Linked DNA regions of Drosophila melanogaster. The protein of the gene in region 1 interacts with the protein of each later gene in a pairwise test. Each region holds a gene or a part of one and is shown on either strand. Other genes may lie near its edges.

Region 1 (5,259 bases):
CCATCGTTCTGTCTCTTTCTCTGTCCGCTCTGGCTGCAATTTTCTCAAGAAGCCGCACTTAAATGGCTTCCTATGCGGGTGCAAACAAAAGCTGCAAACACACACACACACACATATGTCTACGCCTTTGAATGTGTGTGTCTGCTACAGTTACAAAAAAAAATGAAAAAAATAAGGCAAAAATCGCTGCTTGAAGTGGTGGTTGAATTTTGCACTTTTTTTTCTTATTTTTGTCTTGCAACGTGCAAATGGAAAAAGAGTTGCAAATTTTCTACTCCTGCTGTTCTGCGCAACACATGCGCCATTATGCAATTGATTTTTCTTCGTTTTTTTTACGAGTTTTCCAACGCTGTTGCATTGTTTGTACGCCGCTGACTTTTCTCCCCGGCTTTCTTGTGTTTTTACGTTTTTTGGTTCACTTGCCTGTCAAAGGTCATTCAACTTGGCTGCTACTAATTTGCCGCTGCCCCAGCAGGTGCGCCTAATTAAGCAGATCCCCTGCTAGCAACTAAAGCCCAAAAGTCGGCAACAAAGCGGCTAGCAAGCTCACTCACACATGTACAGAGGCAGGTGTCTAAAGTGACGCTTTATATGGCGAAAAATAAACTGGAAAAAACACGCACACAAACATGCGGAAGAATTGCACGTGCTCTATCTCCTCAGAGGTTGCATGCAACTTGGCTGGGGCTCATAACCCTGAATGCATGACTGCAATGAATGCAAACAGGCTGCAGAGACAGACGACTCACAGACGCACCCACACTCCAGATGAAGAGGACACTACGCCGGCCCAGCCATGCACCACCCACCCACCACCTTCCACTCAAGCTCTCCCTGCTTTTAAGACTTAACTGCAGCAGATTGCGTATACGCAGCATTGGCCACTTGCATTATGAGCACCTCCTACTCTCGTGTCAGCGTGATAAGCCACCGCATCTCGGCATCTACATTTCCATTTGCGACAGCTGCCCGCGTTTTGTGCGTTCTTACACTGCGTTCTAATTCCAAAGAAAAATGTTAGGAACTATTTGAATATTTTATAAGGAGAATATACAATGCACCATGTTACTAAAATTTCTATTTGTGGTCTACTAGGGTAAAAATTAAAAAATACTCTCATTAGGCAATTAATTGAGACTCTTTTTTCGAGTGTACCACCCTCTGCAGGACCGAAGGTCCCGCTGATCTCGGCTGCATTCATGGCGAATGTCAAGTGTTGGCAGTTGGCTTGCCAAGATGTTTTGTTTGACGCCGGAACAACGCCAGCAACATTTGCTGTGTCAAGTGGCAGTCAAGTGCATTTAACAGGGCGCGTCTTTGATTGACGTTAGCCCGCGTTCGGGAACTATGGCAAAGGGAGCAGGACGAAGGACGAGGACAATCGCCAAGGAATTTAGCTGCAGGCGACTGCGTGGCAATTGTCAAACGGAAACGCAGAAACAAAGACGACGTCAGCACAATCCGAATATCAAAGTCTGGCTTCCTTTAATGCTCAAGAGCTGTAACATTTCTGGTGCGTGTCAATCGCTTAATCCGGCCGAATGGGAATCGGATTGGGTTGCAACATCGGAGCCAGCAAATCAACTGGTTTGCTGCATATTTATGAATACGTCTGGTTAGCCTAATTATGTACGAAACGACAATGAAAGATGGGTCTGAAGTTGAGCATCTATTTTGTGTAAAGTTACAACACAGCACTTGGAAAATGCAGTTTCTCTTCTCCTTTAAAGACCACATATATATTACAAGCAATCAACGTACCATTATAAGGTAACTCCCTCACACTAAACAATGAATTTATATTTGAATTGTGTGCGTAAGGTGATCAACACCTATAAACACATTATGAGCAATCTGAAAGACATAAAAACTTCAAAATAACGCACCTATAAAAATAGATTAAACGGGCCTTATGCGAGTTTAATAGTTTGCAAATCATTTGCAAATCAGCAGACATATTTAAACACAAGCATAAAGTTATATAGTTATGCCTGCGTATTTGAGCCAAGATCCAACTTTTACTTTTCGCCGAGCTTCAAAACATAACTTGCTTCGCAGAAAGCGCAGACCGATGATGCGAGGCGAATTAAATTACATTAAACTTGGCCAAAGCGAACCGTACTGAAGTGGCTAAAAGCGGAAAGGCCGAAACCATTTTCACGGCCCTCAGCACTAAAAAAAAATGTGGTATATTTCCGTGGACTAGAAATTAGCATAAGCAACAAAACTATGAATAGGCAATTATTGTTGTTAACTCTATTACACATACATCTAAATTTAAGATTATAACTATTATTTAAAGTGGCAAGATATTTGGATGAAAGCCTTAAGCTTTTTTAGAACTGTCATAATTTTTCCGAGTGCGTGGTGAAATGCAGGTAGACAATGAAGAGCAGCCAGAGCAGCAGAGCTGGCACTTTAATTACGACAAAATTTGCGTGAGTGATAGTCAAATGATGCCGCAAGCATCATTCGAGTGTTGGAGCGGGGTAAAAAGGTAAAAAGGTAAACAAATAAGAAATAAACACCGCAGAGACAATAAATGGAAAAGAAATTATGAAATTATGTGTTCGAACTGTTACAACGAATCAGAGCCAGCTGGCAAAAGTGGCGGCAGTCGGAGCCATACTATACCGAGCTATGCCAAAACCCGTTTTCGGAGTGATCTTCTGGCGGGTTGGGTTGGCTTGGCGGGTGTCTGCCCTGCCGAAGTTCATTTAGTTGCCAGCCGGCGAAGAGTTCACAACGCGTCGAGTGTCCAACAAAAAAAGCGAGCAAGATGCCCTCCATATGGCTGTTAGTCTCGACGGTGGGTTAACTAGTGCTGCCGTTAAAAAAAGGATATACCTTTAAGCTGGATTAAATTCTTTACCCACAGCTGGCTTTGGTTAGCTGCCAGGACTATCATTACCACCGTCCACAGACTCCTTTCGTTGCGGAATCTTACCATCAGCACCAGCAGCCTCAAGCCACCAAGTTTGTGGTGCAGACTTTGGGTCGCACCTACGGTTTGGAAACCCAAAGGGCACCAGCCATCTATGAGGATTATCAGACGCATATTGTGCAGCTCTTCCAGCAGCGACAGGTGCCGCAGTATCATCAGGCTCCCCGCCAACAATTGCACACTTCTAGCTACCAGAATCCCCTGCTGGTCAGCGCCAACTACCAGGCCGGCACCGTGTCCTTGGCGCCTCCAGCTCCCGCTGCTCCTGCCCAGCCACTGACCAGCTATGGGCCACCTCACCTGCAGCACCAGTCACAGCCTCTGCAACCTCCACCGCAGACTCCCCAATACTTCCCCCAACAGCAGCAGCCACCTGCAAGCTATTTGCCACCTCAGCAGCCTGCCCAGAAATTGTTCTTCGGCAATCCGTTTCCCTATGCCCCTGTGACGACCGGCTCGGGGCAACAGGTGCTGGATGCAGGACATGGATCAGGTGTGGCGCCCAATGAAGTGCAGGCTCAGCTTTTGCAAGCCACCGGAGCTGCGCCACCACAAACTCGAGTGGGTAACCAGGTGGCTCAGTCGCAGAGCTCCTCTTTGGATGCCTATGACTACAAGCAGAGCACTCCCGGAGAAAACCGAGAGTACCAAAGGTTCGTCACCAGCTGCCCGGGAGGTGGAGCCTGCCAGCAGAAGGAGTTCAATCCAGGCGAGGTGGATGAGAGCCACCAGCGGGTTCTGCAGACAGTGCGAGCCAGTACCCAACCTCGAGTGGAGGGCTGCTACAAGAGCCAGGTGATCTATGTGCCAGCGGGAGCTGCTGTCAATAGTCAGGGTCAGTTGCGACCAAAGAATCGACGCACTTTCGAGCGCAAGGAGCAGGTCCTCTCCAGATACCCCTACAACTAAATGTCCTCTCTAATCTTACTCACCGAATTTCACATCGAATTAGTTGATATGCTTAGTTGTCAGTTTGTTGTTTGTTGTAAATAAATCGATCATTGTTTAAATTTTAAATCACGCATACTTACCGTTTCGGGTGATTAATTTAACAAGCCCAAAAGTAGGCATACAAGTCCATTCGATTCAGCAAATATGTTAATCGCATAACCTGTTGCATGTTGCTCAATCAGCTGGTGATGGTGATATTTTATTGTGGGATTGCATATGGTCGAGCCATGAAATGCTAATTAGCTAAATTGATTACACAGCGAGAAATGGGGTCGATGTACCTAACCACAGATGCAAATGTCTGGTCGTAAATGCAATTGGGAATATAGTATGACCAAAAAAAAACTATTAAAATAGATAAGAAAAGGGAGTTATGGGTTCGCAAAAATATTTTTGATACTAATTAAAATTTGATTGACATATATACATAGCTAATTACGCAGCTTATTATATGTATAGATAATATTTAAATGGTTCCAGATCAATAAAAACACTTTGTAATTAATCAATTTCTCATTACCAAACCACATTTAGTTTATGAAAATTGTATGACTTTAGTCATCGTTGGCTTGTTCAGTTACACAAATGTACTCCAAGGCAGCAAAATTGTTTGTGCTAGTTATATTTTTTGGAAATATAATGGAAGTAAGGATACAATAAAATTAAGCATCTTACATTATAAAGATGCAGTCATTTGTTTTTAACCCCAGAATGCCTCCAAGTTGGAGTTTACGAATTTTAAGTGTCATGTGAAGGACCCGACTTATTTGAGCTTCGAGTACTGTTTCATAAAATCCGTAAATCGAACCTATAAGTACATATCACTCAAGGCCAACATGTACGAAGTACCTATTACAAACGCATCGGTATGTATTAAAAAAAAATGGCTTAAAAATCCCACTCACTAAGCGTATATATTGATGTAGGCAAAACTTCAAATTTCGAGAAGATTTCGGTCCTATATGCCCATAACCATAGCCGCCAGCATAGATGTTTGCAAATATATGGCTTACAAGAAGAACTTGGCCAATCCGATGCTCAGACTTTTCGAGGAGATCACCAAAAAATACACAAATACCAACCATAAATGTCCCTATGATGTGGGTTAATGAGAACTTTTCAAATGATTATTTCTAGATGTTATACAATAACATTTTTACAGCACGACCTTATCATAGACAGACTTCCCTCCAAATATCTGAGTGAGCACTTTACCAACATCCTTCCACTCCCACCTGGGGATTACAGTTTTAACAGCATATGGTACAGCAGAAACATAGAACGGGCCACCATCTCCATATATTATACTGTATCATAATCAGAAGCAGCGGTTTAAAATTTATTAAAATTATCAAACAATTCTA
Region 2 (6,108 bases), on another chromosome or scaffold:
CTTCTATATAGAGGCGATATATGTGTGTATGTATGTGTGACCTGGCCTGGGCATACCTAATTAAACTAATGAAGCAAGCGAAGAGAGTAGCGTCATCATCATCATCACCATCCATCTTCGAGGGCCGAACGTTGCCGAAGCTGCTGCTTTCGTTCGGCTAATGAGGTTTATTGCGGCTGTCGTCGCTGTGGATCCCCCCAGCCCCACTTCTTGAGGCACCACCCACCCCCATGCCATGCCGAAGAAACAACGAAGACCCAGTTCTCACACAAGCGATTTTAGGAGCATAAAAAAGATACAAAAATTTAATGGATTTTAGCACGCACACCAGCACACGCAGCCAACAGATACATGTACGTGCTCAGATACAGATACACATACAGATACTTATACGTATACACCCTCGCAGGTGGAGGGGTACTAAATTATATGGATTGCATGGAAATGGAGGCAGTGCTGCATGCTCGTACCACTAAGTAGAGTAATTGCATGTGGAGGATCCGTACTTAGCTAGTTGGCTGGATTCGAAAACAACTAACCGGACTTAAATCAGGGTGTTTTCAAAGGTTCCAACCCTTATATTTTTTTTTAGGGTTGACGTTTTACAGGGTGTTGACTGCCTTAAATGTTATTAGACCACTAATTAGTGCTATTAAAATTAATTACTCAGAAAACATTTATGTGGCTCATGTGAAGTAAGTTCGATTTTGCGGGCAGGAATATCTTTTAAAATCAGTTTTAGTTTTAGTTTCGGGTGTATTCCCGTGTATTAAGCTTTTTGTGATCTTCTGTTATGTATATGTTAGTGAATAAATTTGTATTCTTTTACATTTTTTTAAATTATCCTACAACCATAAAACAATTTTAAAGAAATTTTAAAAATGCGAAGTCCAACTTTAGGTCAGTTTAGTATAATTGCAAAACGTTTTATATAAATATTTTGTTAACAAATTATAAGCGTTTAAAACGGCAAGTTAGATTTGGATTTTTTCTCATGTATTTTTAAATCGACCAAAAGTATTTATCAGGTTTTTAAATCTACAGTGAAAGTACCGAAAATCACTTTTCTGCCATTCGGGAAATGTTGAATGAGCAATAATTTAATTTCCTTGGTAATCTGCCAAGTTTAATGCCAATCATGACATATCATTGATGTTACGTCGAATCGGATATGTCTAACCACTTTGGCGATCTCCTCTATTATCCTGTTTAATGGTAAATGTTTTTATTTTTCCACTTCAATATTACAGTTACTAAGCACGCATCTAAGGTTTCACTAGAAATCTGACAAAGTATTCAGTATTGTTTTTGATGATATTGAATATTTAAATTCCTAAAGAAATTCTTATATGATTTTTTGTTGAATGGAAAGGGATTTTTGCTCACATAATATAATAGTTTGATTGCCGTGAATGGCATGTAGTTGTAATACATTAAATTCTGTTATATCAAGTTAAAATAGGATTTCATTTTAAAATAGGAGTGTACTCTTCAGATTCATCAATACAATTAGGCGATTAAGCTGTCCAAACACGATTTATAAACATTTCGAAAGATTTATCTCTCTCTTCCAAGAAGTTACAACCATTGGAATCTCCTTTTACGTCAATGAAAACTTAAGTTCCTGGTTGCAGTAGGGAAAGTCCAGAAATGATCAAGCAAACATTAATTCTTAAATACTATTCACTTTTAGTATCCGGGAAATGTGTAAAAGGCGGACAATCAAAAACAAGTTCTAAAGGAAATAAGTAAATTTCAATTGGATATATGCATTTCCAATCCAGCTTAGTCACGGTAAAGCCTTAATTAATTTTCAAACATTGATTGGAAATCCACATATACAGATGGTTGTTTATTGGCCATAGAATTTTATTTGATATTGAAAACTATTTAGATTGAAAACGAAGTTAGCAAACTTTAGGTAGATCGCAGCCTTGACTTGATTTATGGGGCAGCCATAAAAGATCAAACTGAATGAAATGAAATGCCCCGTCCCGTGATGAGCCAATCCCAAGCAGGAAGATTTGGAAAATGTGACGAAAAATGCGACAGGCTTTCGCCCATGAGACATTCTTAATTGTGATTTTCGGTTTCGAATTTCTTACGAAAAGTGTGTGCGGACTTATCAGAGCTTTTCATCTGTACTTAATTTAATTTCATGGCTTCATTTCCATTCATAATTCCAGCCAATTTGTAGACGGGAATTTCCCGTCGGAAACTACGAAAGTCAGTCAGCTGAAATGGCTAGCTAATACGTATAAAGGGGAAATACTTATATACAGTCATATACTTATATATGGATATTAAAACCTCATGCGTATCTATCAAGCTGTGTAGATCGGATACAAATCTTTATAATGGCCTGACCTCTGGCCGAAATATACCAAATGTTAAGACTTCTTCTCGGTGCGTCGCCTGTGCGTTCTTGGCCTCTGCTTTTTCCCAGGGTCTCCACCCCCGCCGACTTCTCCGGCGTCTTGGTTTACTTTCCACTTGACCAATTTCGAGTCGCGTCCGAAGACGGTTCTTAAGTTATTCGCAGTCGACCATTTACATATTTACGTTTACGTTTACGTTTGCCGAGGGAAACGGAGAGAATCGAGAAGCGGATACGAATACAAGTGCAAGTGCTGCGGGGTCTGAAAACTGGGGCCACACCAAGGAAAATCTAAGCAAATTCCCAGATACTATATACTGTATAACCCCCATATATATATATTTATACATATATAACCGTGCTTTATAGTTGTAGCTTACTGCCACAGTGTGCATTCGACATCCCCGACGGTGTTTCTCGCTGTCGTGCCCGCCGCTAGTATCTTTGTATCTTAGTATCTTAGTATCTGTGATTGTGACTAAGTCTTGAAAAGTCGCAGTCATGGGCCCCCATATATATAAGTATATACATATTTATTGTATATATATATATATGTACGATCTAGAGAATTTCTTCACCACTACACGAGCGCCTTTTCCATTTTTCATTATGGTTATTATCTTGAAGATATGTATCTTCGCTTCGGTTGGATATAATTAAACAGCGAGAAAAAAATTTTAGCATGGGAAAAATGTAAATATTACTTGTAATTTGTTAGCAGATGATGTGGATGTTCGTGATCATATGAGGGTTCCATTTTTATACGGCAACGGCGATGTTCGTGGTAACGGTGACGGTGACGTTGATGTTGTTGCAGTTGCAGTTGTTGCTTCTGTTGTTGTAGTTGTTGCTGTTGTTTTTGCTGTTGCTGACGTCGGTGGTGGCAGGTTGAAATTGGTGTTGTTGTTGTTGTTGTTGGCTTTGCTTTAGCAGGGCCAGCAGCATTTTGCTTAATGTTGCATTATTCCGTTAGTTTTTCCCTTTGTCGGCGGTTCGGGTGGATTGGTGGGTGGTGGCGGTTGGTGGTTCGCTGGTGGTGATGGTGGTGCCACTACTACTGCTACTGATGTCTGCCGGGCCGAGCATTTTTGCCCAGTTACAGTTCCAACCATAAATTTATGTGCCACGGCATGTGTGAATTTGCGTCCATTTGTTGTCAGATTTTGTTTTGTTTGTGGCTCAGAGCCTAACCCACATTTTGGCCACAATTTCGCAATCACCGAGTGATGTAAATATATTTTTGAATCTCACTATTCACTGGTGATTATTTTGAAGATATTGAAAAATACACACTTCAAATTTGGATTTTCGATTGGCACTTGGTGTTGAAAAGATACTTTTCAACACCGGAACGATGTAAACTTTTTATTAAACAGATTGTGTCACTTTTTACATAGTTTTACCGGTATTGATCTACGTTCTTTAAAATCACTTGTTCATTAGTTTTTGGCCCTAAAGCGAGCTGTTTAAAGGTTGACTAACGAACGTATCCGTAGCCTAAAATCAAGGGCTTCGACATTTCACAAGATACAAACAGCGGATAGCGCTCTTGGGAAAATGAAAATTCACGGCACAACAGCAACTACTAAGCAAGTAACTAACTAACTAACTAACAAACTAACTAACTGGGCCTATGTACAGCGGGCCAGTTTGTATGTAGATATATATATATTTATGATTACAGCCCGGGGACGCAGATGGCGATGTCAATGGAGAGCCACCAGAGTCACTACCGAGTTCCGCCGATGCCAGGGCTTGAGTCAGAGTTAAAGGCGAACTGAAAGTCGGAGCCGCATGAACCACGCTGATGACGAACCGCAGGCCAACTGAACTCGACGACCGATCGACGCTCTCGCGAACTGGGGGAACTGTGAGCTGGCGGCTGGCAGCTGGGGAGCTGGGAGATTGTGAACCGAACTGAGGTGTCTCTGCCTTCAGAGCCCGTGCATAAGGCCAAAAAGCGAAAAGCCATAAGCTGAACCTTTCGCGCAGTCTTGAATCGAAACAGCCAGAGAGTGGCGGCAGCGGCAGCAGCAGCAGCTGTTCATCGATGCGGAACGAGCAAGTGGCTCTGGTCCGAGCCCAGGTGACTTGGCCCTGTCTCCCAGACTATGCCGTACCATAGACAAGTATACTTTACCCATAGCCTCCGAACCGAGAGCAGCGGCGAGTTCTTTTGAATCTAATGAAACACAGAGCTTGTTTAATATTCATTCGTTCGTTCGTTCGGTTCGTTTCGTTTTGTTTCGGACTCTCGCGATCTCTCGGTCTCACTTTCAGAAATGTAAAACCTGTTCCCCGAGATCCGTTTGTTGTGGGAGAGACAACTTTGCATTTGGTTTGTTTCAATTGGTGGAGGCCCCCAATGTCGTTGGGGTCCATATATACACAACCGTACGTCTGTATGTGCACATGCATATACTAGCGGATGGGGGGATAGCACCCATACACGGAAGCCAGCGTATGCAAATATCGTAATGTTCGGAACCTCTGGGAAAAGGGTGTTATTTGGATCAAATGGGGCACCGTCTTTCAGAAAGAGAGAGATTTTGCGAAAGATTCGCAAATGTTTAAATTGGCAATCTCTAAGCAAATGGAAAGCAACGAAAGTCATTAATCAAAAGGTGACTAAATGGGAATGAAAGGGATTTTCAGGCAGTTTGTAAAGAGTTTAAACTTACAAAACAATTTGTTAGTAGTAAGTCATACTATCTTGTTCACTATCAAATAGATTTTAACAGAATGTAAATCAAAAAGTAGCTCATAGATACAATATTCATAAATCTACACAAAAACTAATACATTCTCTGATCAGCAACTCAATAGTAACTATACCAACTCTCTTAACATTAAAACAAAGTTCTTATATATTTAATAAAATATATATCATGGAATAGATCACAGTTGAAAATGCTTATCTTAATACCATCTTACTGTCCATTAAGTATCCGCCCAGTGAGCCCAATGCCTTGAAAGCGGCTGTAATATTCAAATAGAGCCATATTTAATTTTTATTTCACTCTCCACCCACCAAAGTTTTTGGGGCCAAGCTGATTGGTATCCAACTGGAGATAAGCAGCCAAATTGCATATTGCAACAACTGCTGCCAGCGAACCGCACAGCCAAGCCCAAAAAATAAAAAAAATCAAAGGCACAAAAAAATCGAGATGAAGATGAGGAGGTAGAAAAGCGACGAACCTCCCAGAAGACGAGTCAAGTACGTTGGCAGGTAAAAGTGCATGCGGCCACGCGCAGGGCATTTAATAATAATAAACTCGTACTCGGATGGGGCTACCTCCATCCCCAAGCCCAGCCGGAGTTCATAATTAAGCGCCAGAATGCCGGGAAAGCCTTCGCTTCCTCTTGCCATAGATGCAAAATATTTGTTTATCACATCGCGATAATTGCCGCCGGCGATGCGAGGCCCAAGTCTTCGCGGATTCGTGGTCGTGGATTCGTCGATTTATGCATGTGCACAGGTGCGGGGCGGGGGATCGGGCAGCGGCCAAAAGGTTCCTCCGACCATCGGAGCATCGGTCAGACCAAAAGAAAGAAAATCCCAAAAGGGGGGGAGCAACTGCAGCGCAAGCGTGTGCCGATCGAGAAGGCTGGAGACTGGAGACTGAAGACTGGCGACCGAGCACTGAAGTCTGAAACCCCAAAGACCAAAGACTAAAGGCCGAGAGAACAGGAATGGGAAGCGGGGTAAAGATTGCGAATGAGGATCGGAT

Evidence for each region. Proteins that work in one complex are often made in the same cells at the same time.
Region 2: the proteins of CG7080 (region 1) and Sox15 interact in a two-hybrid assay, tested with the Drosophila melanogaster proteins (one large-scale study listed by BioGRID).

The regions. Positions count from the first base shown.
Region 1 is NT_033777.3:22,326,589-22,331,847, forward strand, and holds CG7080 (uncharacterized protein), read left to right. Parts: upstream 1-2,711; 5' UTR 2,712-2,779; coding exon 2,780-2,809; intron 2,810-2,878; coding exon 2,879-3,853; 3' UTR 3,854-3,958; downstream 3,959-5,259. Other genes in the region: CG33721 (uncharacterized protein), read left to right, coding at 4,481-4,540, 4,606-4,761, 4,822-4,995, 5,058-5,213.
Region 2 is NT_033778.4:14,208,207-14,214,314, forward strand, and holds the start of Sox15 (Sox box protein 15), read right to left. Parts: upstream 4,208-6,108; 5' UTR 3,135-4,207; coding exon 3,082-3,134; intron 1-3,081.